3 linked regions of the Anolis sagrei genome follow. The protein of the gene in region 3 binds, or shares a complex with, the protein of the main gene of each other region. Links are inferred from orthologs where the notes say so. Each region holds a gene or a part of one and is shown on either strand. Other genes may lie near its edges. The genes, in order: CHUK, IKBKB and IKBKG.

Evidence for each region.
Region 1: IKBKG (region 3) and CHUK share a complex: the UniProt entries of both Homo sapiens proteins name them as parts of the I-kappa-B-kinase (IKK) core complex. The link is inferred for Anolis sagrei from reciprocal best matches to the Homo sapiens genes IKBKG and CHUK.
Region 2: the proteins of IKBKG (region 3) and IKBKB are in contact, whole or in part, in a crystal structure (PDB 3BRV), measured with the Homo sapiens proteins. The link is inferred for Anolis sagrei from reciprocal best matches to the Homo sapiens genes IKBKG and IKBKB. Residues at the interface, in NP_001093327.1 of Homo sapiens: Arg62, Ile65, Arg66, Asn69, Leu72, Arg73, Arg75, Cys76, Leu79, Phe82, Gln83, Gln86, Lys90, Leu93, Met94, Phe97, Ala100, Arg101, Val104; in NP_001547.1 of Homo sapiens: Ser705, Leu708, Glu711, Ala712, Leu715, Cys716, Leu718, Leu719, Ala722, Ile723, Asp725, Thr726, Glu729, Gln730, Gln732, Phe734, Leu737, Asp738, Trp739, Trp741.

What each region holds. Positions count from the first base shown.
Region 1 is NC_090023.1:141,577,463-141,585,073, reverse strand, and holds the start of CHUK (inhibitor of nuclear factor kappa-B kinase subunit alpha), read right to left. Parts: upstream 3,260-7,611; 5' UTR 3,182-3,259; coding exon 3,056-3,181; intron 2,159-3,055; coding exon 2,064-2,158; intron 1-2,063. Other genes in the region: ERICH6B (glutamate-rich protein 6B), read right to left, coding at 6,664-6,891.
Region 2 is NC_090027.1:24,636,278-24,643,700, forward strand, and holds the start of IKBKB (inhibitor of nuclear factor kappa-B kinase subunit beta), read right to left. Parts: upstream 3,148-7,423; 5' UTR 3,009-3,147; coding exon 2,895-3,008; intron 119-2,894; coding exon 24-118; intron 1-23.
Region 3 is NC_090022.1:174,520,405-174,527,917, forward strand, and holds the start of IKBKG (NF-kappa-B essential modulator), read right to left. Parts: upstream 3,484-7,513; 5' UTR 3,379-3,483; intron 463-3,378; 5' UTR 452-462; coding exon 268-451; intron 1-267. UniProt on the Homo sapiens protein: Regulatory subunit of the IKK core complex which phosphorylates inhibitors of NF-kappa-B thus leading to the dissociation of the inhibitor/NF-kappa-B complex and ultimately the degradation of the inhibitor.

The sequences.
Region 1 (7,611 bases), on a different chromosome or scaffold from region 3:
TATAATTAGATTTAAAAGATATCTGAGGAAAATACAAATCTATCAAGCTCTAGCCAAGAATACAAATTTGGTTGACAAAGGGGAAAGCTGAATTCTATCAGGACCTGGAATGGAAACTGATGACAAGACCACTTGGAAAAACAAGGTTCTGGTATAGATCGGGTTTTCCCTTAAAAACTGTGGTGCAAAGCAAAGACGAGCCATTGGTGGCTGGGGGGGAACGCCGTTCTCTTTCAGTATTCCTAACCATGGACTTGCACTTGGTTTTCTTCTACAGTTTACTGAAGTCAGCTTTCTTAAAGTCTAGAATGCATGTTAACCATGCTTCATTCCCCCTTTCTGCTGTATAACAAACTCTAGAAGAACATGGTTACTCCCACTTAAGGAATCCACTATCTCTATCCCATTTACCCTGTCATCACTGTTGGTTAGGATCAAATCTAAAATAACTGATTCCCTTGTTGCTTCTTCCACCTTTTGGACCATGACGCTGTCTGCAAGGCAAGTGAGAAACTTGTTGGACCTGATGTTCTTGGCAAAGTTTGTCTTCCAACCAAATTAGGATGGATACCTAATACTTCAGAGGACAAGATCAGAACGTTAGCATTTTTGAAAGGATGTCCATACTGGGAGAGATCAAGCTCGTTTTCAACTGCTCTAGAGACTACGGCATAGAGCAATGGATTGAAATTGGAGGGGAATTGAAATTCCACCTAAATATGGAGGAATTTCCTGATGGTTAGAATAGTTGAATATGCTGTCTCATCACATGATGGAGCCTCTGGCCTGTTGGTAAAGAGGACTGAGTGTCAGATATGTGGACCACAGATAAATGTGAAGATTTTCTGGAATGTTCTTGCCTAGAAAAGGCTCCCCTGAACAGAGGCATCAGGGATCACATTGTAAACATGTTAGATAATGGCATACACCAAAGAATTTCAGCATCTGCTTTCCAAATTATAGCAAAATTTCTGATTGTGTAGATCATGAAACACTATCAATCTGTAAGACTTGAATTCATAAAAGGGTGACTAGAGGTCACTCATGGGGCTGGCCGTGAACAACAGTATGTCAACAGCGTGACATGCATTTACATGACAAGGCATTCTTATAGTTGTGCCAAAAACAGTGCAAACAGTCTTCTGCCTTCGCCACATCCTCTCTGCAAATCATGCAGGCACAAGTGCACCTGTACAATGTGAATCCAAGGTGAGAGTGATGGTGTAAAGTGCACCCTTTACGTAACTATCACTTTTTTCACCCAATGTTTCTGTACCAGCCAATTCTTATGACAGAAGTTATGAGTTGAGTAATGGTTCTTAAAAGTATTTATGAACTTGTATATATTATATATACAAGTTATATATTATATATACCTCATATATTATTCCATTTCAGTACATACATGTATACTTTTTGAAGCAACAAATACGGAGATCTACTGTATACCTAAACAGACTTTTGTTTTCACCTCCAGCGATATTGGTTTTCTACTAACACAGAAAACAGTTTGATTAAAAACTTCAAGAAAAAAATAAAATGCACTTCATTGTGCTGGAAGCAATTTTAAAAACAGCTCTTACATTTCCCCTTTATTATATTTTAGTGTGTGTGTGTATATGTGTGCGTATAATATATATATATATATTTGGGGGGCAATGTTCTTGAAACATCTTAAGAAAATTTATTTTAAAATATGTATATTGTAATTTATTCAGATGGTGTATATAGAAGTAAGGTGTATATATAGAAGTATTTTTCAAAATTGTATAATATTGTTCCATTTTGGTTAACACATTTCTAAATGAAATCAAACTTGTACAATTGGTATCTGTCTAAATAGCCCCCCCCCCCCCACTTGTGCTGATTAGTTGATTCACTGAATTAATTCGATTTACCAATGCATCGGCTCATCATTCAACAACTGACTGAATGGCTGATAATGAGTCTCATTATCAGCATTATCACCACCACCATCAGCATGTAGTTGGGACTAATAAAAGGGCATGCCAGCCACATAGACATAAACAAAAATGTGTTGGAAAAACAAAGTGAGAACTTACTTCTTCATGATCTGGATTTCATGGCACCACCGATCTTTGTTTTTCACACTTAGTTCCAGACGACAAGACTTGATTGCTAACTTTGTACCTAAATCCTGTCTTGCAGAAGAAAGAATTAAAACAGATCACCACAAAAATCACTGCCTTTAACAGCCTCCCTGAACCACAAACCCCAGAATTCTGCAGGAGGCAGAAACTGGATTTAAAGTGGATTCGTTCTCTAGTGTGATGAAGTACTCACTCTCTGCCAGGGTGACATCCCTGTCCACGGCCTCATCAACCCAGAGAAGAAGCATTTACCGTCTTCTGCTTCCCCTTTGCCATCGCTGCACCGCCTTCCCTTAGAATCATAGAGTTGGAAGAGACCTCATGGGCCATCCAGTCCAACCCCCTGCCAAGAAGCAGGAAAACTGCATTCAAAGCACCCCCAACAGATGGCCATCCAGCCTCTGTTTAAAAGCTTCCAAAGGAGGTCTCCACCACACTGCGGGGCAGAGAGTTCCACTGGTGAACAGCTCTCACAGTCAGGAAGTTCTTCCTAGTGCTCAGGTGGAATTTCCTTTCTTGTAGTTTGAAGCCATTGTTCCGCATCCTAGTCTCGCTTGCTCCCTCCTCCCTATGACTTCCTCTCACACCTTTATACATGGCTATAATGTCTCCTCTCGGCCTTCAGGCTAGACATGCTCAGCTCTTTCAGCCGCTCCTCATAGGGCTTGTTCTCCAGACCCTTAATCATTTTAGTCGCCCTATTCTCAACATATTCCAGCTTGTCAACATCTCCCTTCAATTGTGGTGCCCAGAAGAGAGATATTGTCAAGCTGGAATGTGTCCTTTCTTTCCTTTTTCCTCCCTCCTTCCCCACCAAACCCAGCACTCATGGCACAAGCCAGGAGCAGGGCCCTCAAGTCAGTCAAAGGCTGAGGAGCCCCGTCCTCCAATGACCACAACCCAAGGGCGAAACCCCCGCCAAGTTTGCGACCCCGGCGACCCACCCGGTGCTGGTAGAGGGAGACGTTGCCGAAGCCGCCGGTGCCGAGCCGCTCCCGCACCTCCCAGGGCTCGCAGGCCGCCATTCCCGGAGGGCCCCCGCGCCCCGGCCCCGCCGGCAGACCCTCCATCCGCCCCCCCGCCCGCCTGCCTGGGCCAGCCGCGGATCCCCAGGGCAGCCAGCCAGCCAGCTCTCGCGAGACCTGGGACGGGAGCGGAAGTGGCCTCAGGGTGTGGGCTCTTCCCCTTCCGGGAGATGCGCGCAGAGAGAGGGAGAGAAGGTAGACAGCCCTTGCGCAATCGGTATTGAGTTTCTTGATTCTGGAAGGCAGGTGGGAATGGCTGGAGAATATACAAGCAACCCTTAAGACAGGAACAAGATAGGCCGGAAGCATTAGGTTGCTGCGAGTTTTCCAGGCTGTCTGGCCATGTTCCAGCAGCACTGTCTCCTGACTCTTCGCCCACATCTGTAGCAGGCATCCTGTGAGGTCTGTGTATTGTCGAAGGCTTTCATGTCTAGAGTCACTGGGTTGTTGTAGGTTATTTCGAGCTATATAGCTATGTTCTAGAAGCACTCTCTCCTGACGTTTCGCCTGCATCTATGGCAAGCATCCTCAGAGGTTACGACCTCACAACCTCTGAGGATGCTTGCCATAGATGCAAGCGAAACGTCAGGAGAGAATGCTTCAAGAACATGGCCATATAGCCCGAAATAACCTACGACAACCCAGTTGTGAGGTCTGTTGGAAACTAGGCAAGTGAGCTTTATATATCTGAGGAACAGGGGCGGCTCAACCCATCACGCAAAGTAAGCATTTGCAGTATAGTTGATTTTGCCCAGGGGCACTCTTGAGGCGCTCTTGGGGAAAATAGACCTTGACAAATGCAAGTTACTGGGATGTATAGTTCACCTAAAATTAAAGAGCATTCTGAACTCCACCAATGATGGAATTGAACCATATATGGCACACAGAACTCCCATGACGAACAGAAAATATATATCAATGATTGGTTGGTGGGGGGGGGGGGCACCAAAATACTGTTTGCTTACCGTTGAAAATTACCTAGGGCCGCCTCTGCTGAGGAATGTCCAGGGTGGGAGAAAGAACACTTGTTGTTTTTTTGAAGCAAGTGTGACTGTTGCAATTGGATACCTTGATTAGCAAATAATAATAATAATAATAATAATTTTATTCTTATATCCCGCCACCATCTCCCCAAAGGGATTCTAGGTGGCTTCCATGGGGACCAGGCCCAGCAAAAACAGAAGTTAAGATATAGCACAATTAAAATACATTGAATTTCAATAATTAAATTTTGTTTGTGTTTTTAAATACATTACAACTGTACCCTCGGTTCACTTCTGATATGATAAATAAATGTAAATAATTAAAACAATGAAACCTAACAACAAACATCATGAAAACATAAGAACATCAATAACCATCAAGCAGTAGCTGAGAAGAATGGGCGTGTTCAGATCTAGGAGGGCACTAGCAAGGGCTAATGCAACAGAGCTGTAGGGGCGAGTAATAAAGTGCTACAAAGCCGGACAATAAGTTAGAGCTAGAGGGGCCTAGTCAATAGATGAACCGGTTAGTCAAAGGCACATTGCAACATCAAAGTTTTCGGGTATTTTCGGAAGGTGGACAGGGTGGGTGTTACTCTAATCTCCCTGGGGGAAAAGTTCTGGGGGGGGGGGGGCACCAGCTTGAGAATAAAGTCCACCTAGGAAAAATATAAAAATATTCTTACCATACATCAAGGGAACCACTGACTGCATAGGGAAATTAATGAAGAAACATAACTTCCAATCAATCTATAGGCCCTTCCAAGAAAATCCAACAAAAGCTATGTTCAGTAAAGGACAAAAGGGATCCTCTCACCTCTGCAGGAGTCTACCGGATACCATGCAGCTGTGGACATGTCTACAGAGGGACCACCAAATGCAGCATTGCCCAAACACGAATCAAGGAACATGAAAGGCACTGCAGACTACTTCAGTAAGAGAAATCAATCATAGCAGAACACATGATAAACCAAGCTGGGCACAGAATATTATGTGAAAACACAGAAATGTTGGACCACTCTGACAACCACCATAATCAGACTATACAGAGAAGCCATTGAAATCCACAAGTATGTGGACAATTTCAACTGAAAGGAGAAAAACATAAAAATGAACAAAATCTGGCTACTGGTATTCCTAAATACCAGAATCAAGTCAGCAAATAAAGAACAACACTCAGAAACGGGAATTTCAGCCAGCCAACAATCAAGTGCCAGTTAACACCTCCCAAACAAAGAATGCTCCCAGGCAACAATAGCCAGGCTTTTCAGCTGCAAGGCTACCCAATTGCTAATCAAGATTACAGCTGCAAGGCGTTTCGATGCTAATCAAGGTGGACAATTGCAACATTCATACTTGGCTCAAACGACAAGAGTTCTTTCTCCCACCCTGGACATTACACAGATATATGTACACCCCACATGCCTCATTTCCACAGACCTTTGAGCAAACCTTTGGAGAATGCCTGCCACAGATGCAGGTGAAAAATCAGGAGAGAATACTACTAGAACAAATACGCAGATAATCATATACATGAACGTTATTAGGTGCCAACTTTTTTATAGTGTGCTACCGATCTTGTATTCCACCTTGGGGGGAAAGAACAAGGAAAGAAGAGGGGCCCATAGATTTTAAAAAGCATTTTAGCATCCAGTCTCTCTCACACAATAAATAAATACAATAAATCAGTTAAACAATTCAGCATATATTTTTATACCTCTCTACATGCATCCACCACCCATGGGACATATATTCATACTGAATACTCTCCAAATGTATTCTCCCCTACGAACCATCAAGACCACTAAGATCATCTGGAGGGGCCCTGCTCTCAGTCCCTCCACCTTCACAGGCACGGCTGGTGGGGACGAGGGACAGGGCCTTCTCGATGGTGGCCCCTCGACTCTGGAACTCCCTGCCATTAGAGATCAGAACTGCCCCCTCCCTCATGACGTTTAGGAAACTAACAAAGACCTGGTTGTGGAACGCGGCATTTGACAACTGATTTAATTCTTTGCCCACATGAAAGGAGGATGATGAATGGTATTGTGATGGTGTCGGATGATTTGGCTCTTTTAACTGTGATGATAATGTTTTAACATGTATAGTGCTGATATTTTAACCGTGTAATGAAGTGGCATTGTGTTGTTATTGTATATTCTTTGTATGTTAACACATGTTGTGAACCGGTCCGAATCCCTCTTTGAAGGTGAGAGGGTCGGTATATAAAACCTCGAAATAAATAATAAATAAATAAATGAATATTAATTATTCTGATATGAGCATGCATTAAAGATTTCCTCTGACCCACTTCTATTTATCACAGGATGCTGAAACTGCACATGTGTAATGATATCAGTCTCTATAGGTTACGTGCCAATTTACAACTCGGAACTGAGAAAAATCTTGATTTGACAGGTGCTGAAATGATGTGAGGTTTGATAATGGACCCAGTGGAATACAGAGCAGTCATCAAGTTTGTTTACTTGAAAGGCTGCACACCAAAGGAGACTTTTTCTTTTCTTTATTCAACAGATTTGTGCCTCATTTTTTTTGTTTAAATCTAACCGTCTTTTTATGTCGCTGGTGGGCTAGGCCACGCAGTTCTGTTACGACTTGACACAGGTCATCAATTTCTTCAGGTGGAACAGTGTGCAGTGTTTTCAGTATTTTCTGGCAGTTTGTTAAGAGCTCTCTGATCTTCAGAATCTTGCTTCGTTCTCTCACAGTTTCACGATGTTTAAGTAATGGAAGCATGTTTGGATCTTTCAACTGCAAAAGTCACAGACAAGTGTTAATGTTTCATCATTATTTTAACCAAGTTAATCATTTTCACTAAAATTTTCACATATAGAAATTCTGCTTCATATATTATATATTAACAATCTGGAAACACTCCTGGATTGATATATGAGCTCAGATATTATAATAATGAAATGCAGAATCCAGAACTGTGGCCAGAGATAGATGCAATTTGGTACATACTGATGAAAAGCTGAAGGAATGTTCATTATACATGTGTATTTTTCCTTCAAAGATATAGAAATATGTGTGTGAGTGATCAGAGTCCCCAAATGTAGTTTATGTTTTTCTTCATAGACTACTAGCTTTTCCTGCCACGCGTTGCTGTGGCCAGCCTTCTCTCCCTCTTTCTCTGCTTCTTTCACTCCTTCCTTCATTCCGTTTTCTTCTTTCCTTTCTTCCTTCTCTACCTGGTTACTTCCTTCCTTAGCTGTTTGCTTTCATCCTTCCTTCTCCTTATTTCTTTTCTTCCCTGCGTCTTTCTCTCCTTCTTTCTCTTTTTCCTTTGCTGCGTCTTTCCTCGCTTCCCTTTTTTCTTTCCTTCTCTCCTCCTTCCTTCTGTACCTCTTTCCTTCCTCCTCCCTTTTTTCCTTCCTCTTTGTCTCCTTTCTTCTTTCTCTTTCCTTCCTTCCTTCGCTCTGTAGTTCCATACTTCCTTTTCTTTCTTTCTTTCCTTCCCTCCCTTTCTCT
Region 2 (7,423 bases), on a different chromosome or scaffold from region 3:
GGCTTCCCTGCCCGGCTCCTCACCGTTTCATGATCTGGATTTCCAAACACCACCGTTCTCGGTTGCGGAGGCTGAGCTCCTGGCGACACTGTTTGATTGCAATCTGCTCCCCCGTTTCCTGTACGAAAATAAGATGCCAACAATGTGATGAACGCAGCACACTGATTCTCAAAACTGCCTCCCAAAACCTGACAAATAAATGCTTTTGGAGCCTTCAGGGAGTTGTTCTTGCAAGGAGATTTTGGAAAGGGCAAAAACGATATTCTGAAAAGGACAAGTAGCAGGGGATTATGAGAGGAACGTCGACAAGTCCATTTTAAATCGAGAATTTCATTATGCATTTAGTCTTTTTAATGTGTATCTTGTATGTGTTTTGATAGTGTTGTTGTGTGTGTTTTGATAGTGTTTACCGACTGTTAGGAATTGTGGGAGTTGTGGGAGCTTCGGGAGACAGTGGTCGGGCATCCGGACAACATTGGCAGTCCAGTGGAGTTGATGGCGGAGGACCATCGCTTCAGTGCTGGTGGTCTTTGCTTCTTCCAGCACACTGACGTTTGTCCGCTTGTCTTCCCAAGATATTTGCAGGATTTTCCAGAGGCAGCGCTGATGGAATCGTTCCAGGAGTTGCATGTGATGTCTGTAGACAGTCCACGTTTCGCAGGCATATACCAGGGTTGGGAGGACAATAGCTCTATAAACAAGCACCTTGGTATCCCTATGGATGTCCCGGTCCTCAAACACTGTCTGCTTCATTCAGAAAAATGCTGCACTCGCAGAGCTCAGGTGGTGTTGGTCAACATTTTCTAATGTTACACCATTAAGCTGTATCTCTGGCATTGGAGAGGGGTTGGCAGGAAACTGCTGGAACAGTACTTTGGTTTTTTTGATGTTCAGTGACAGGCCGAGCTTCGTGTATGCTTCTGCGAAGGTGTTTAGAGTGGCTTGTAGATCTTCTTCTGAATGTGCACAGACGACATTGTCACAAGCATACTGGAGTTCTGTAACAGATGTTGTTGTAACCTTGGTTTTGGCTTTCAGTCTGCTGAGGTTAAACAGCTTGCCATCTGTCTGATTATAGATTATTTCCACTCCGGTGGGAAGCTTCCTATCAACAAGATGAAGTATAGCGATGAAGATGGAGAATAAAGTTGGGACAATAACACATCCCTGTTTGACGCCTGATTCCACCTTAAATGGGTCACTTTGGAAGCCGTTGCTATCCAAGACTGTTGCCATCATGTCATCATGGAGGAGCCACAGGATGTTCACAAATAAAAGAATTACATAAATTCGAAACCATTACTGGATGAGGATGAACAAGCTGAAGATCAATCCCGACAAGACAGAGGTCCTCCTGGTCGATCATAAACCGGATTGGGGTATAGGGTGGCAACCTGTGCTAGACGGGGTTACACTCCCCCTGAAGTCACAGGTCCGCAGTTTGGGTGTCCTCTTGGATTCATCACTTACGCTTGAGGCTCAGGCGTCGGCGGTGTCCGGGAGGGCTTTTGCACAATTGAGACTTGTGCGCCAACTGAGACTGTACCTCGTAAAGGCTGATCTGGCTGGGGTGGTCCATGCCTTGGTCACCTCTAGATTGGACTACTGTAATGCACTCTACGTGGGACTGCCCTTGAAAATGGCTCGGAAATTTCAACTGGTCCAACGGGCGGCGGCCAGGCTGTTAACTGTCGCTCCTTACAGAAAGAGGTTAACCCTCCTGTTTAAAGAGCTCCATTGGTTACCGTTCATCTTCCGGTCCCAATTTCAGGTGCAGGTGCTCACCTACAAAGCCCTAAACGGTTTGGGACCCGCCTACCTGCGTGACCGCATCTCCATATATGAACCCACATGTTCCCTTCGATCATCTGGAGAGGCCCTGCTCACGATCCCACCTGCGTCTCAAGCGCGTTTGGTGGGGACGAGGGACGGGGCCTTCTCTGTGGTGGCCCCCCGACTCTGGAACTCTCTCCCCAAGAACATCAGACAAGCCCCAACTTTGACAATCTTTAGGAAGAGCCTGAAGACCTGGCTGTTCCAGTGTGCCTTTCCAGAATAGGAAACTCCCGGCATCATGTCCCAAACGCACTTTGTTAGAGACCAGGATTGTCTGCACATTGCACCTACCTCCAAAAATCGTTACATACCTCCTGTCAAGTTCAGCACTTTTAAATTTTGTCCATTACATTTGGCCCGGCCTTCTAGATTTTAAATGCATCATGGTGTCATTGTTTTTAGTGTTTTATTGTCTTTGCTTGATGTTTTATTGTTTGCTTATGAGTTTTATTGTTATATTTGTATGTTGTTGTTTGTTGCAGCCTTGGCCTTTATAAGCCGCATCGAGTCCTTCGGGAGATTTTGCAGGGTATAAATATAGTTAACAATTAATAATAATAATAATAATTTTCCATGTATTGTCGAAGGCTTTCATGGCCGGAATCACTGGGTTGCTGTAGGTTTTTCCGGGCTATATGGCCATGTTCTGGAGGCAATTTTTCTCCTGACGTTTCGCCTGCATCTATGGCAAGCATCCTCAGAGGTAAAGAGGTCTGTTGGAAGTAGGAAAAACTAGGTTTATATATCTGTGGAATGACCAGGGTGTGACAAAGGACTTTTGTTTGCTGGGGCTAGCTGTGGATGTTTCAGCTGATCACCTTGATTTGCATTTGAAAATTGCATAATTTTCCAGATCACCAGTCTGGGCCACAGCAACGCATGGCAGGGGACAGCTAGTGCTTCCTATGTCCCATCTGCATGGGGGTATTGGGGTAACTTTGGCCTTACAGAGGGATGTGGACTCCAGCTCCCAGAAGACTCAGCCAGCATTCTGGGAGTTGAAGTCTCAGCCGCAAGCCACGCCCCTCTGGCCCTCCCTCCCTCCCTCCCTGACTCACTTTGTGCTGCCAGCGGATGACGTTGCCGAAGCCCCCGGTGCCGAGCCGTTCGCGCATCTCCCAAGCCCCGCAGGAGGCCGTGGGCTGGAGCGGTGGAGGAGGCGGAGGCGCCATCGCAAACCAGCCCGGCTTCTCCTCACGGGGACACCGAATACAACCCCCCTTCCTCCTCCTGCTTCTGTTTCCTCCCTCAGCAGCAGGACTAGGCCGCGCCGCTCTCCTTCCGCGTCTTCAGGAAAAGGGAGGCGGGCCCCGAGGGAGAAAAAGACTAGGCCGCGCCTTAAAGGGACCGCAGCATTAAAAAAAAAGAAAAACAAATAGATCAGTGGTTATTATTATTATTATTATTATTATTATTATTATTATTAAACTTTGTTTGTACCCCGCTAGCATCTCCCGAAGGATTCGATGCGGCTTACACAGGCCAAGGCCTCAACACACAACACAACAATACAATCTAAGCAAATCAAACAATTAAAAACAGAATAAAGCAAAATAAACAACAGGCACAATACACTAAACACAATAAAACTGGGCCGGGCCAGAGTAATGGGTACAAGATTAAAAGTGCTGATGTGACAGGAGATGTATATAGGGTGACCCCCCCCACCACCACCACAACATGAGGAACTGTATTGAGGGGTCGCAGGATTAGGAAAGTTGAGAACCATTGTTGTTGTTCATTTGTTCAGTCGTCTCCGACTCTTCGTGACCTCATGGGCCAGCCCACGCCAGAGCTCCCTGTCGGCCGTCACCACCCCCAGCTCCTTCAAGGTCAGTCCAGTCACTTCAAGGATGCCATCCATCCATCTTGCCCTTGGTCGGTCCCTCTTCCTTTTGCCTTCCACTTTCCCCAGCATAATTGTCTTCTCCAGGCTTTGCTGTCTCCTAATGATGTGGCCAAAGTACTTCAGCTTTGTCTCTAGTATCCTTCCCTCCAGTGAGCAGTCGGGCTTTATTTCCTGGAGGATGGACTGGTTGGATCTTCTCGCAGTCCAAGGCACTCTCAGAACTTTCCTCCAACACCACAGCTCAAAAGCATCGATCTTCCTTCGCTCAGCCTTCCCTAAGGTCCAGCTCTCACATCCATAGATTACTACAGGGAATACCATGGCTTTGACTAGGCGGATCTTTGTTGCCAGTCTGATGTCTCTACTCTTTACTATAACATGAGGAAACAACCAGGCACATCTTAACACCTCTCAACAAAAGATTTTCCCAGGCTCAGGCAGGCCTTCAAATGCTAATGAAGGTGGCCAGTTGAAACATTCACACCTAGCTCCAGCAGAGAAGAGCTCTTTGCCCCACCCCAGCCATTCCACAGATATATAAACCCATTGTCCTATTTCCAACAGACCTCACTACCTCTGAGGATGCTTGCCATAGATGCAGGCGAAACGTCAGGAGAGAATGCCTCTGGAACATGGCCCTATAGCCCGAAAAAACCCACAAGAACCTAGTGATTCCAGCCATGAAAGCCTTCGACAACCATAACATTATTTTCATTGCTACTTCATACATTTTGTAATTTTGCTATTGTTATTAATCACAATGTGAAAACATATCTGATATGCAGTGTGTGTTTTCATTCATTAACTGGAACAAAGTTGGCAAAAATATCCACATTTGAATACTGGTGGGGTTGGATGGGGGAATGATTTTGTCATTTGGGAGTTGTAGTTGCTGGGATTTATAGTTCACCTACAATCAAAGAGCATTCTGAACTCCACCAGAGATGGAATTGAATTGATGCGGCTTACAAAGGCCAAGGCCTCAAAACACAACACAACAATACAACACCTAAAGCAAATTAAAAACAATAAAAGCAATATTAAACAACAAGCAATAAACAATACATCAAGACACTATAAAACTGGGCCGGGCCAGAGTAATGGGTACAGAATTAAAAGTGCTGATGTGACAGGTGATATGTAAGGATTATAGGGTAAGTGCAGTGTGCGGTGTGCAGCAATCTTAGTTCTAATAAAGTGCTTCTGGGACTTGTTATTGGAGATTCCTAATCTGGAAAGGCACATCGGAACAGCCAGGTCTTCAAGTTCTTTCTGAAGACTGCCAATGTAAGGGCCTGTCTAAGATCTTTGGGGAGGGTGTTCCAGAGTCGAGGGGCCACCACAGAAAAGGCCCTGTCTCGCGTCCCCCACCAAACGCACCTGCGACGCTGGCGGAATCATGAGCAGGGCCTCTCCAGATGACCGAAGTGAGTGCGTGAGTTCATAAATGGAGATACGGTCACGTAGGTAGGATGGTCCCAAACCATTTAGGGCTTTGTAGGTAAGCACCTGCACCTTAAATTGGGCTCTGAAAATAAATGGCAGGCAGTGGAGCTCCTTGAACAAGCATTGGTGAGCACCCTCTGGGTTCATCCATTTAACCAATTACAGATCCACCTCACCGTAGTGTTGCCTAGCCCACATTGGAATAGTTTGTTTGCCAGAAGGTCATGGGGAACCTTGTCGAAGGCCTTACTGAAATCCAGGTATGCTTCATCCACGGCATTCCCCGCATCTACCCAGCTTGTAACTCTATCAAAAAAAGAGATCCGGTTAGTCTGGCATGACTTGTTTTTGATAAATCCATGTTGACTTAATAAACCATTAAGCTGTATTTCTGGCATTGCAGAGGGATTGGCTGGTGCTTGCTGGAAGAGTACTTTGGTTTTCTCAATGTTCAGTGAAAACAGTACCATATAATCCTGTTCAAAGCTGATCATCTGGATTCAGAGACGAGTATAGGGCAGTGTAGTTTGGGCCTGTGATATGATGTAGCCACAGGAGGGCAGCATCTGCTCTATTTATAGATAAAATTTATGCGTAGACAGAAGTCTAAGATTTGTGTTTTGCATCCTTGGCATGAGGCAGAAAGTATTACTACTGTGATTTCTTTTTCTCATCCTCTTCACTACACAAACACAAAAACATCCTAAGGAAAGCATGCCCTCATACATTTATCCTCTGCTCTGGATTTTCCGTTGCAGAACTACTCCAATGTCCAGATGGGATCACATCTTCCTGCAACCTTACCCACTCCTTCGCACTTTGGTAAAATTTCCCCTTTTCCGTGCTTAATAATGTGGCCATTAGGTCAAGCTTTGCTAGACAGGCAAAGAGGCTTCAATGGGATGCTTTTAATGCACAAACCATGTCAACAATCAATTCAACTTTGTGTTTCAAAAGGCATCTTCTCTGTCACAATATCAGGAGTTTCCTTTTTGCATCTAAAAAAGGTGTTTCCATTTGGAGGATTGGTAAGGAGACTGGATGGCCATAAAATTATTTATGAATTGTAATGTAAATATCTGCTACACAGGATATGTTTTCATTCACTGGTCCAAATTTGGCACAAATACCTGGAACGCCCAAATTTGAATCCTGGTGGGGTTTGGGGGGAATTGATTTTGTCATTTGGAAGTTGTAGTTGTTGGGATTTATCGTTAATCTACAATCAGAGGGCATTCTGAACTCCACCAAAGATGGAATGGAACCAAACTTGGCACACAGAACTCCCACAACCAACAGAAAATACTGGAAGGGTTTGGTGGGCATTTACCTTGCGCTTTGGAGTTGTAGTTCACCTACATCCAGACAGCATTGTGGACCCAAACAATGATAGACCTGGACCATGCTTCGCATGGATACTCAATATGCCCAAATATGAACACTGGTGGGGTTTGGGGGAAATAGACCTTGACTTTTGGGAGTTGTAGTTGCTGGGATTTATAGTTCACTTACAATCAAAGAGCTTTCTGAACCCCACCAACGATAGAAATGGGCCAAACCTTTCACACAGTACCCCCATGCCTTGAAGGGACTCACTGGCGCAAGCCTCCCTCCAGCATCACATGCTCTTCCTTGCTCGCACATGCGCACCACGCTGCCATGTGCTGGGTATGCCTGCTCTCCCCTCCCCTGCTTGAAAATTTAAAAACAACCCTCCCCTTGGTTTTGAGGCCAGCTGAGAGGCCAGTCACTCACAGCAGAGGAGGGCTTTGGTGGGAGGATTCCCCATCTGTTTTCAAAAAAGAACAGAAGGACAGGCAGAGAGATCTTCAGCCTTCTCTGCCAAAGGGGTTCCTAAGACCCTCAGAAATACATGTTTTCTAATGATCTTTGGTGAACCCTCTAAAAACTCCCTCGTGACCCCCCCCCCCCTCCCGCGATCTCAACTCCCAGGTTGAGAAACTGATCTAATGGATTAAATGCTGTTTAGTACTCTGTATCTGCTGCTTATTTTCTAGATTTTGCAAATAATAATAATAATAATAATAATAATAATAATAATAATAGAGCAGAAGATCCGCCTAGTCAAAGCCATGGTATTCCCTGTAGTCACCTACGGATGTGAGAGCTGGACCTTAGGGAAGGCTGAGCGAAGGAAGATCGATGCTTTTGAACTGTGGTGCTGGAGGAAGGTTCTGAGAGTGCCTTGGACTGCGAGAAGATCCAACCAGTCCATCCTCCAGGAAATAAAGCCCGACTGCTCACTGGAGGGAAAGATACTAGAGACAAAGT
Region 3 (7,513 bases):
TGGAGTCACTCTCATTATTTACATATATATGGTTTAGTCCACTTCAACAACTCACTTCTTAGATGTATCTTATATAGCTGCATTTATGCTAAAACCAAAATAATAGAATAATTTCTAGCCAGGTTCTTAAGCTCAAAACAGGAGAATATAATACACAAGTCATAGAAACAGTCACAGAGGGAATCTGGGATTAAGCCTAAACCAACTGGTGAACATTATATCAGTCCACCTGAATAGTCCCAAAACTCCCATCTATTGTGTCCTCACCTTTGAGGTCTCTGTTCTCAGCCAGCATATGCTGCACCGCTTCATGTCCAGCCAGCTCAGCTGGCAGGTGAAGGGGGCCATCTCTGCCAAGAGAAGAGTCATCCCCCATCATGATGCAATCGCTGTGGGGGCACCCGCCTGGCTGTACCATGTCACAGCTCCAGCCACCGTGGCCTACACTCATTCATCCAGGTCCTGGAAATAAAAAGCATGATGAAGAATGGGATGGACATGCACACAGAGCAAAGCCTAGCTCATTCAGTCACATAAACATCAATCGACCATTGCTCTTGAATAAGAGGAGAGGAACAGCAGGATTTTGCCTTATTTCTCTCTGTGGTTATAAAATACTTTTACTGGGCTATCAGATAGTAGATAGTAGCACATACATCTAAATCCTTCTCTATACAAGCAAAAATGGCTGATGCATTACTTAATAGCATGTCTATGAAAATTTTAAGTTTGAAACTTTATCCCTTGATCACAGATATTTCTTCTTGTATGTTTTACATGGCGGAGTACTGAATATGAACCTCCTGGTCATGGGCTGAAATATGTAAGAAATACATATTCACAGAGATAGCTAGCCTTCTATGGCCAATTATAAAGAGAAAACAAAGAAACTGAATTCTTGTGTCCCATAAGATGCCTAAGGATAGATTTCTAGCACTGACACTTGGATTTAGTGTAGCGAATAAATTGTATAAATTGTTAAAGGAATGGTATTCTATGTAGTCACCTACGGATGTGAGAGCTGGACCATAGGGAAGTCTGAGCGAAGGAAGATAGATGCTTTTGAACTGTGGTGCTGGAGGAAAGTTCTGAGAGTGCCTTGGACCGCGAGAAGATCCAACTAGTCCATACTTCAGAAAATAAAGCCTGACTGCTCATTGGAGGGAAGGACAGTAGAGGCAAAGATGAAGTACTCTGTTCATATCATGAGAAGACAGGAAAGCTTAGAGAAGACAATTATGCTGGGGGAAATGGAAGGAAACAGGAAGAGGGGCCGACCAAGGGCAAGATGGATGGATGGGATCCTTGAAGTGACTGGATTGACCTTGAAGAAGCTGGGGGTGGTGACGGCTGACAGGGAGCTCTAGCGTGGTCCATGAGGTCACGAAGAGTCGGAAACAACTGAACAAATGAACAACAATACATTGTGGGACAGATAGCTTGTGACTCTTCAGATGCTGAAGGACTACAACTCTCAACATCCCTACCTAGTAGTTATGTCTCATGGGAGCTGCAGTCTTACAGCATTTGGTGGACCACAGCTACCCATTCGTGTAACATGCAAGAGAGACCTAGATATATAATATATAAGTCCAGCCACAAAGCTTCCTGGGTGATCATGACCCACCTACCATCTCAGCCTAATTTATGACAGTGTTATTGCATTTTTTTTGAGTGGGCACATAATGAGGTTCATGGATACCACTCTATATTCTTTAACAACAAAAATGTAATATATACAAAGGATTATAAGGAGGAGCCTATCAACAAGTACTAAATGTAACTACAGACAGTCATAGAATCATAGAATAATTGTGTTGGAAGAGACCTCGTGGGCCATCCAGTCCAACCACGTCAAGAAGCAGGAAAATCACATTCAAATCACCCCTGACAGATGGCCATCCAGCCTCTGTTTAGTTTTAGAGTAGTGGTTCTCAACCCCAGGTGTTTTGGCCTACAATTCCCAGAAATTCCAGTCAGTTTACCAGCTGTTAGGATTTCTGGGAGTTGAAGGCCAAAACATCTGGGAACCCACAGGTTGAGAACCACTGAGTATTTATTTGAATGATAATTTTAACATCCTACAAGGAAAGACTATGTAACCTATTTGGGTTAATTGCAATGGTCTAGTTTATGTTGTATGTTTCTGTGCTGTTGTAAACCGCACAGTTTATTGATTTTATCTTGTACTAGCCATCCCCTGGCTCAGTCTGTGTATGTGTGCTTTGTATGTGAATGTGTGTCTATATGTGCATGTATATATGTGTGTTTGCGTAGATATATGTGGTTTTGTGCATGCGTTGTAATGTATTTTTTTTAATTTTTTGGCTTTTTAAGTCTCTTCTGCTGTGTTTTTTAGCGTTTTATGAGTGATGGTCACTGGCTGGCCCGATACGTGTATTGTGTCCAAATTTGATGTCAATTCATCCAGTGGTTTTTGAGTTATGTTAATTTCACAAATGAACATTACATTTTTATTTATATAGATGATGATGATGAGGACAGCAATTGCCTTAACTTATAAGAGAGAGACATTTTTATACTTTTATATTTTTACACTGGAGGGAAAGATACTAGAGACAAAGTTGAAGTACTTTGGCCACATCATGAGGAGACAGGAAAGCCTAGAGAAGACAATTATGCTGGGGAAAGTGGAAGGCAAAAGGAAGAGGGGCCGACCAAGGGCAAGATGGATGGATGGCATCCTTGAAGTGACTGGACTGACCTTGAGGGAGCTGGGGGTGGTGACGGCCGACAGGGAGCTCTGGCGTGGGATGGTCCATGAGGTCACGAAGAGTCGGAGACGACTGAACGAATGAACAACAACAACATATTTTTACACAGATTTTAGCTGCTTAATGTGTTATTTATGAGGCCTGTTTGATAATATGTTTTAGCCAATGTTGGCTAAGACTCTATGAAACTACATCTCCCAGGAGTAGTGTCAGACTCCCATTGATTCTCCACCCAGAGTCGTGTTAGGGGGAGAGCCTGGACAATTTGGGATACAACTCCCAGAATCCCCCGAGGGAACAGCCATCTGCCCTACCGAAGGGGGGATTCTGGGAGTTGTAGTCTCTACAAACAAACTTATCATCTGCCAAAGAAGGGATTTCTGGACTTGCTCCCAGAAAAGGAAGACCTCAGCCAGGCTTAGCCCACTTTGCACTCCTCTTGAGCTCCCAAATGCCATGTATATTATAGTTTTTGGACCCCAGGCACCTCAGTTTCACTTTTAGGGCAGGAAGGAAGGGCTCCTGTCCGCACACCTCCTTCGGGCGGGAGTCACAGGCTCAGTCCCCAGTCTTTGACACCCCCTTCCCAGCTCCTATTCCCTCCTTTCACCGCCTGAGTTTTACGAAAAACAGAGAGTCGCACCTTTCCTTTCGACGCCAGCCTGCCCAATGCCGCCGTCTCCTCCCGCTTCCTCCTTCCTGGAACCTTGTTTTGGTCTGATCCGGAAGTGACGTCCAGAAAGAGAAAGCAACTCCGGGAATCGAAAGGAGCAAGACCGAGGCGGAAGTGACGTCAGCAGACGGCCAGACTCAGAGAGGGAAAGCGAAGGCGAGAAAATGGGCCTGGTCTTAGAGCTGGGAGGGGGAGCCCCTTAGTGCCTTTCATGGCGGGATTGAAGAGGGAATCACCCCAAGAAGGAAATAAAGAAGGAATGTGTGGACATAGAATCATAGAATCAAAAAGTTGGAAGAGACCTCATGGGCCATCCAGTCCAACCCCATTCTGCCAAGAAGCAGGAATATTAAATTCAAATCACCCCTGACAGATGGCCATCCAGCCTCTGTTTAAAAGCTTCCAAAGAAGGAGCCTCTACCACACTCCGGGGCAGAGAGTTCCACTGCTGAACGGCTCTCACAGTCAGGAAGTTCTTCCTCATGTTCAGATGGAATCTCCTCTCTTGTAGTTTGAAGCCATTGCTCCATTGCGTCCTAGTCTCCAGGGAAGCAGAAATCAAGCTTGCTCCCTCCTCCCTGTGGCTTCTTCTCACGTATTTATACATGTCTATCATATCTCCTCTCAGCCTTCTCTTCTTCAGGCTAAACATGCCCAGCTCCTTAAGCCGCTCCTCATAGGGCTTGTTCTCTAGACCTTTTATCATTTTAGTTGCTCTCCTCTGGACACATTCCAGCTTGTCAATATCTCTCTTGAATTGTGGTGCCCACAACTGGACACAATATTCCAGATGTGGTCTAACCAAAACAGAATAGAGGGGTAGCATTACTTCCCTAGATCTAGACACTAGACTCCTATTGATGCAGGCCAAAATCCCATTGGCTTTTTTTGCCGCCACATCACATTGTTGGCTCATGTTTAACTTGTTGTCCACGAGGACTCCAAGATCTTTTTCACACGTACTACTCTCGAGCCAGGCATCCCCCATTCTGTATCTTTGCATTTCGTTTTTCCTGCCAAAGTGGAGTATCTTGCATTTGTCACTGTTGAACTTCATTTTGTTAGTTTTGGCCCATCTCTCTAATCTGTCAAGATCGTTTTGAATCCTGCTCCTGTCCTCTGGAGTATTGGCTATCCCTCCCAATTTGGTGTCGTCTGCAAACTTGATGATCCTGCCTTCTAACCCTTCATCTAAGTCATTAATAAAGATGTTGAACAGGACCGGGCCCAGGACAGAACCCTGCGGCACTCCGCTCGTCACTTCTTTCCAGGATGAAGAGGAAGCATTGGTGAGCACCCTCTGGGTTCGTCCATTCAACATGAAACACAATACATTAGCACTAACAACTAAATTATGCAGACCGATTAACTGGCCTCTTCCAGAAAATTAGAAACATTGGAGGTAAATTTCAGGCAAAAATTGGTATGATAAGAAACAAAGATGGCAGGGACCTAACAGAAGCTGAAGAGATCAAGAGAAGGTGGCGAGACTATACAGAAGATCTGTATAGGAAGGATAATAATATCGAGGATAGTTTTGACGGTGTGGTGAATGAATTAGAACCAGATATCCTGAGGAGTGAGGTTGAATGGGCCTTAAGAAGCATTGCTAACAACAAGGCAGCAGGAGACGACGACGGGATCCCAGCTGAACTGTTTAAAATCTTGAAAGATGATGCTGTCAAGGTGATGCATGCCATATGCCAGCAAATATGGAAAACACAAGAATGGCCATCAGACTGGAAAAAATCAACTTATATCCCCATACCAAAAAAGGGAAATGCGAAAGACTGCTCCAACTTCCGTACAGTGGCCCTTATTTCTCATGCCAGTAAGGTAATGCTCAAGATCCTGCAAGGAAGACTCCAGCAATACATGGAGCGAGAGTTGCCAGATGTTCAAGCTGGGTTTAGAAAAGGCAGAGGAAGGAGAGACCAGATTGCCAATATCCGCTGGATAATGGAGAAAGGCAGGGAGTTTCAGAAAAACATCTATTTCTACTTCATTGACTATTCTAAAGCCTTTGACTGTGTGGATCATAATAAATTGTGGCAAGTTCTTGGTGGGATGGGCATACCAAGCCACCTTGTCTCTCTCCTGAGGAATCTGTACAAGGACCAAGGAGCAACAGTCAGAACTGACCACGGAACAACAGACTGGTTCAAGATTGGGAAAGGCGTACGGCAAGGCTGCATATTCTCACCCAACCTTTTTAACTTGTATGCAGAACACATCATGCAAGGATGTGTGGGGCTGGATGAATGCAAAGCTGGGGTGAAAATTGCTGGAAGAAACATTAACAACCTCAGATATGCAGATGACACCACTCTGATGGCCGAAAGCGAGGAGGAGCTGAGGAGCCTTCTAATCAAGGTGAAAGAAGAAAGCGCAAAAGCCGTGTTGCAGCTAAACATCAAAAAAACCAAGATTATGGCAACAAGAATGATTGACAACTGGGAAATAGAGGGAGAAAATGTGGAGGCCGTGACAGACTTTGTATTTCTAGGTGCAAAGATTACTGCAGACGCAGACTGTGGCCAGGAAATCAGAAGATGCTTCTTGGGAGGAGAGCAATGTCGAGTCTCAATAAAATAGTAAAGAGTAGAGACATCACACTGGCAACAAAGATCCGCCTAGTCAAAGCCATGGTATTCCCTGTAGTAATCTACGGATGTGAGAGCTGGACCTTAGGGAAGGCTGAGCGAAGGAAGATAGATGCTTTTGAGCTGTGGTGTTGGAGGAAAGTTCTGAGAGTGCCTTGGACTGCAAGAAGATCCAACCAGTCCATCCTCCAGGAAATAAAACCCGACTGCTCACTGGAGGGAAGGATACTAGAGACAAAGCTGAAGTACTTTGGCCACATCATGAGGAGACAGCAAAGCCTAGAGAAGACAATTATGCTGGGGAAAGTGGAAGGCAAAAGGAAGAGGGGCCGACCAAGGGCAAGATGGATGGATGGCATCCTTGAAGTGACGGGACTGACCTTAAAGGAGCTGGGGGTGGTGACGGCCAACAGGGAGCTCTGGCGTGGGCTGGTCCATGAGGTCACAAAGAGTCGGAGACGACTGAACGAATGAACAACAAAAAGAGAAAGAAAACATGGAGGCAGTGACAAATTTTGTATTTCTAGGCCTAACGATTACTTCAGACGCAGTCTGCAGCCAGGAAATCAGAAGACACTTACTTCTTGGGAGGAGAGCAATGACCAATCTCAATAAAACAGTGAAGAGTAGAGACATCACACTGGCAACGAAGATCCGCATACTTAAAGCAAGGGTATTCCCCGCACTTCTCGGCCTGTCATTGAACATCGAGGAAACCAAAGTGCTGTTCCAGCAGTCATTAGCCAATCCCTCTCCAATGCCAGAAATACAACTTAATGGTGTAACATTAGAAAATGTTGACTATTTCCACTACCATGGCAGCCACCTCTCCACAAAAGTCAACATTGACACTGAAATACAACACCGCCTGAGCTCTGTGAATGCAGCATTTCTCCGAATGAAGCAGAGAGTGTTTAAGGACCGGGACATCCGTAGGGATACCAAGGTGCTTGTTTATAATAATAATAATAATCATCATCATCATCATCTTTATTTGTACCCCGCCACCATCTCCCGAAAGGCGATTCGGAGCAGCTTACATGGGGCCAAGCCCGAACAAGAATACAATATAACAATACAAATTGCAATAAAATAAACAACATAACATTAGATATAAAACATCAAAGCATATAAAAATAGCATTTGATGGCCTGGCAGTGCCTGGGGCAATCTTTTGTTGAGAGGTGATTAGATGTCCCAGATTGTTTCCTCTCTGTTGTTTTGCTGTTGTAATTTTAGAGTTTTTTAATACTGGTAGCTAGGTTTTGTTCATTTTCATGGTTTTCTTTTTTCTGTTGAAATTGCCCACATTTCAATGGCTTCTCTGTGTAGTCTGACATGGTGGTTGTTAGAGTGGTCCAGACCTCACTACCTCTGAGGATGCTTGCCATAGATGCAGGCGAAATGTCAGGAGAGAATGCCTCTAGAAGATGGCCATGTAGCCCGAAAAAACCTATAACAACTCATATATTTATCCTTTTATTCAAACTTTTGAATTGTTT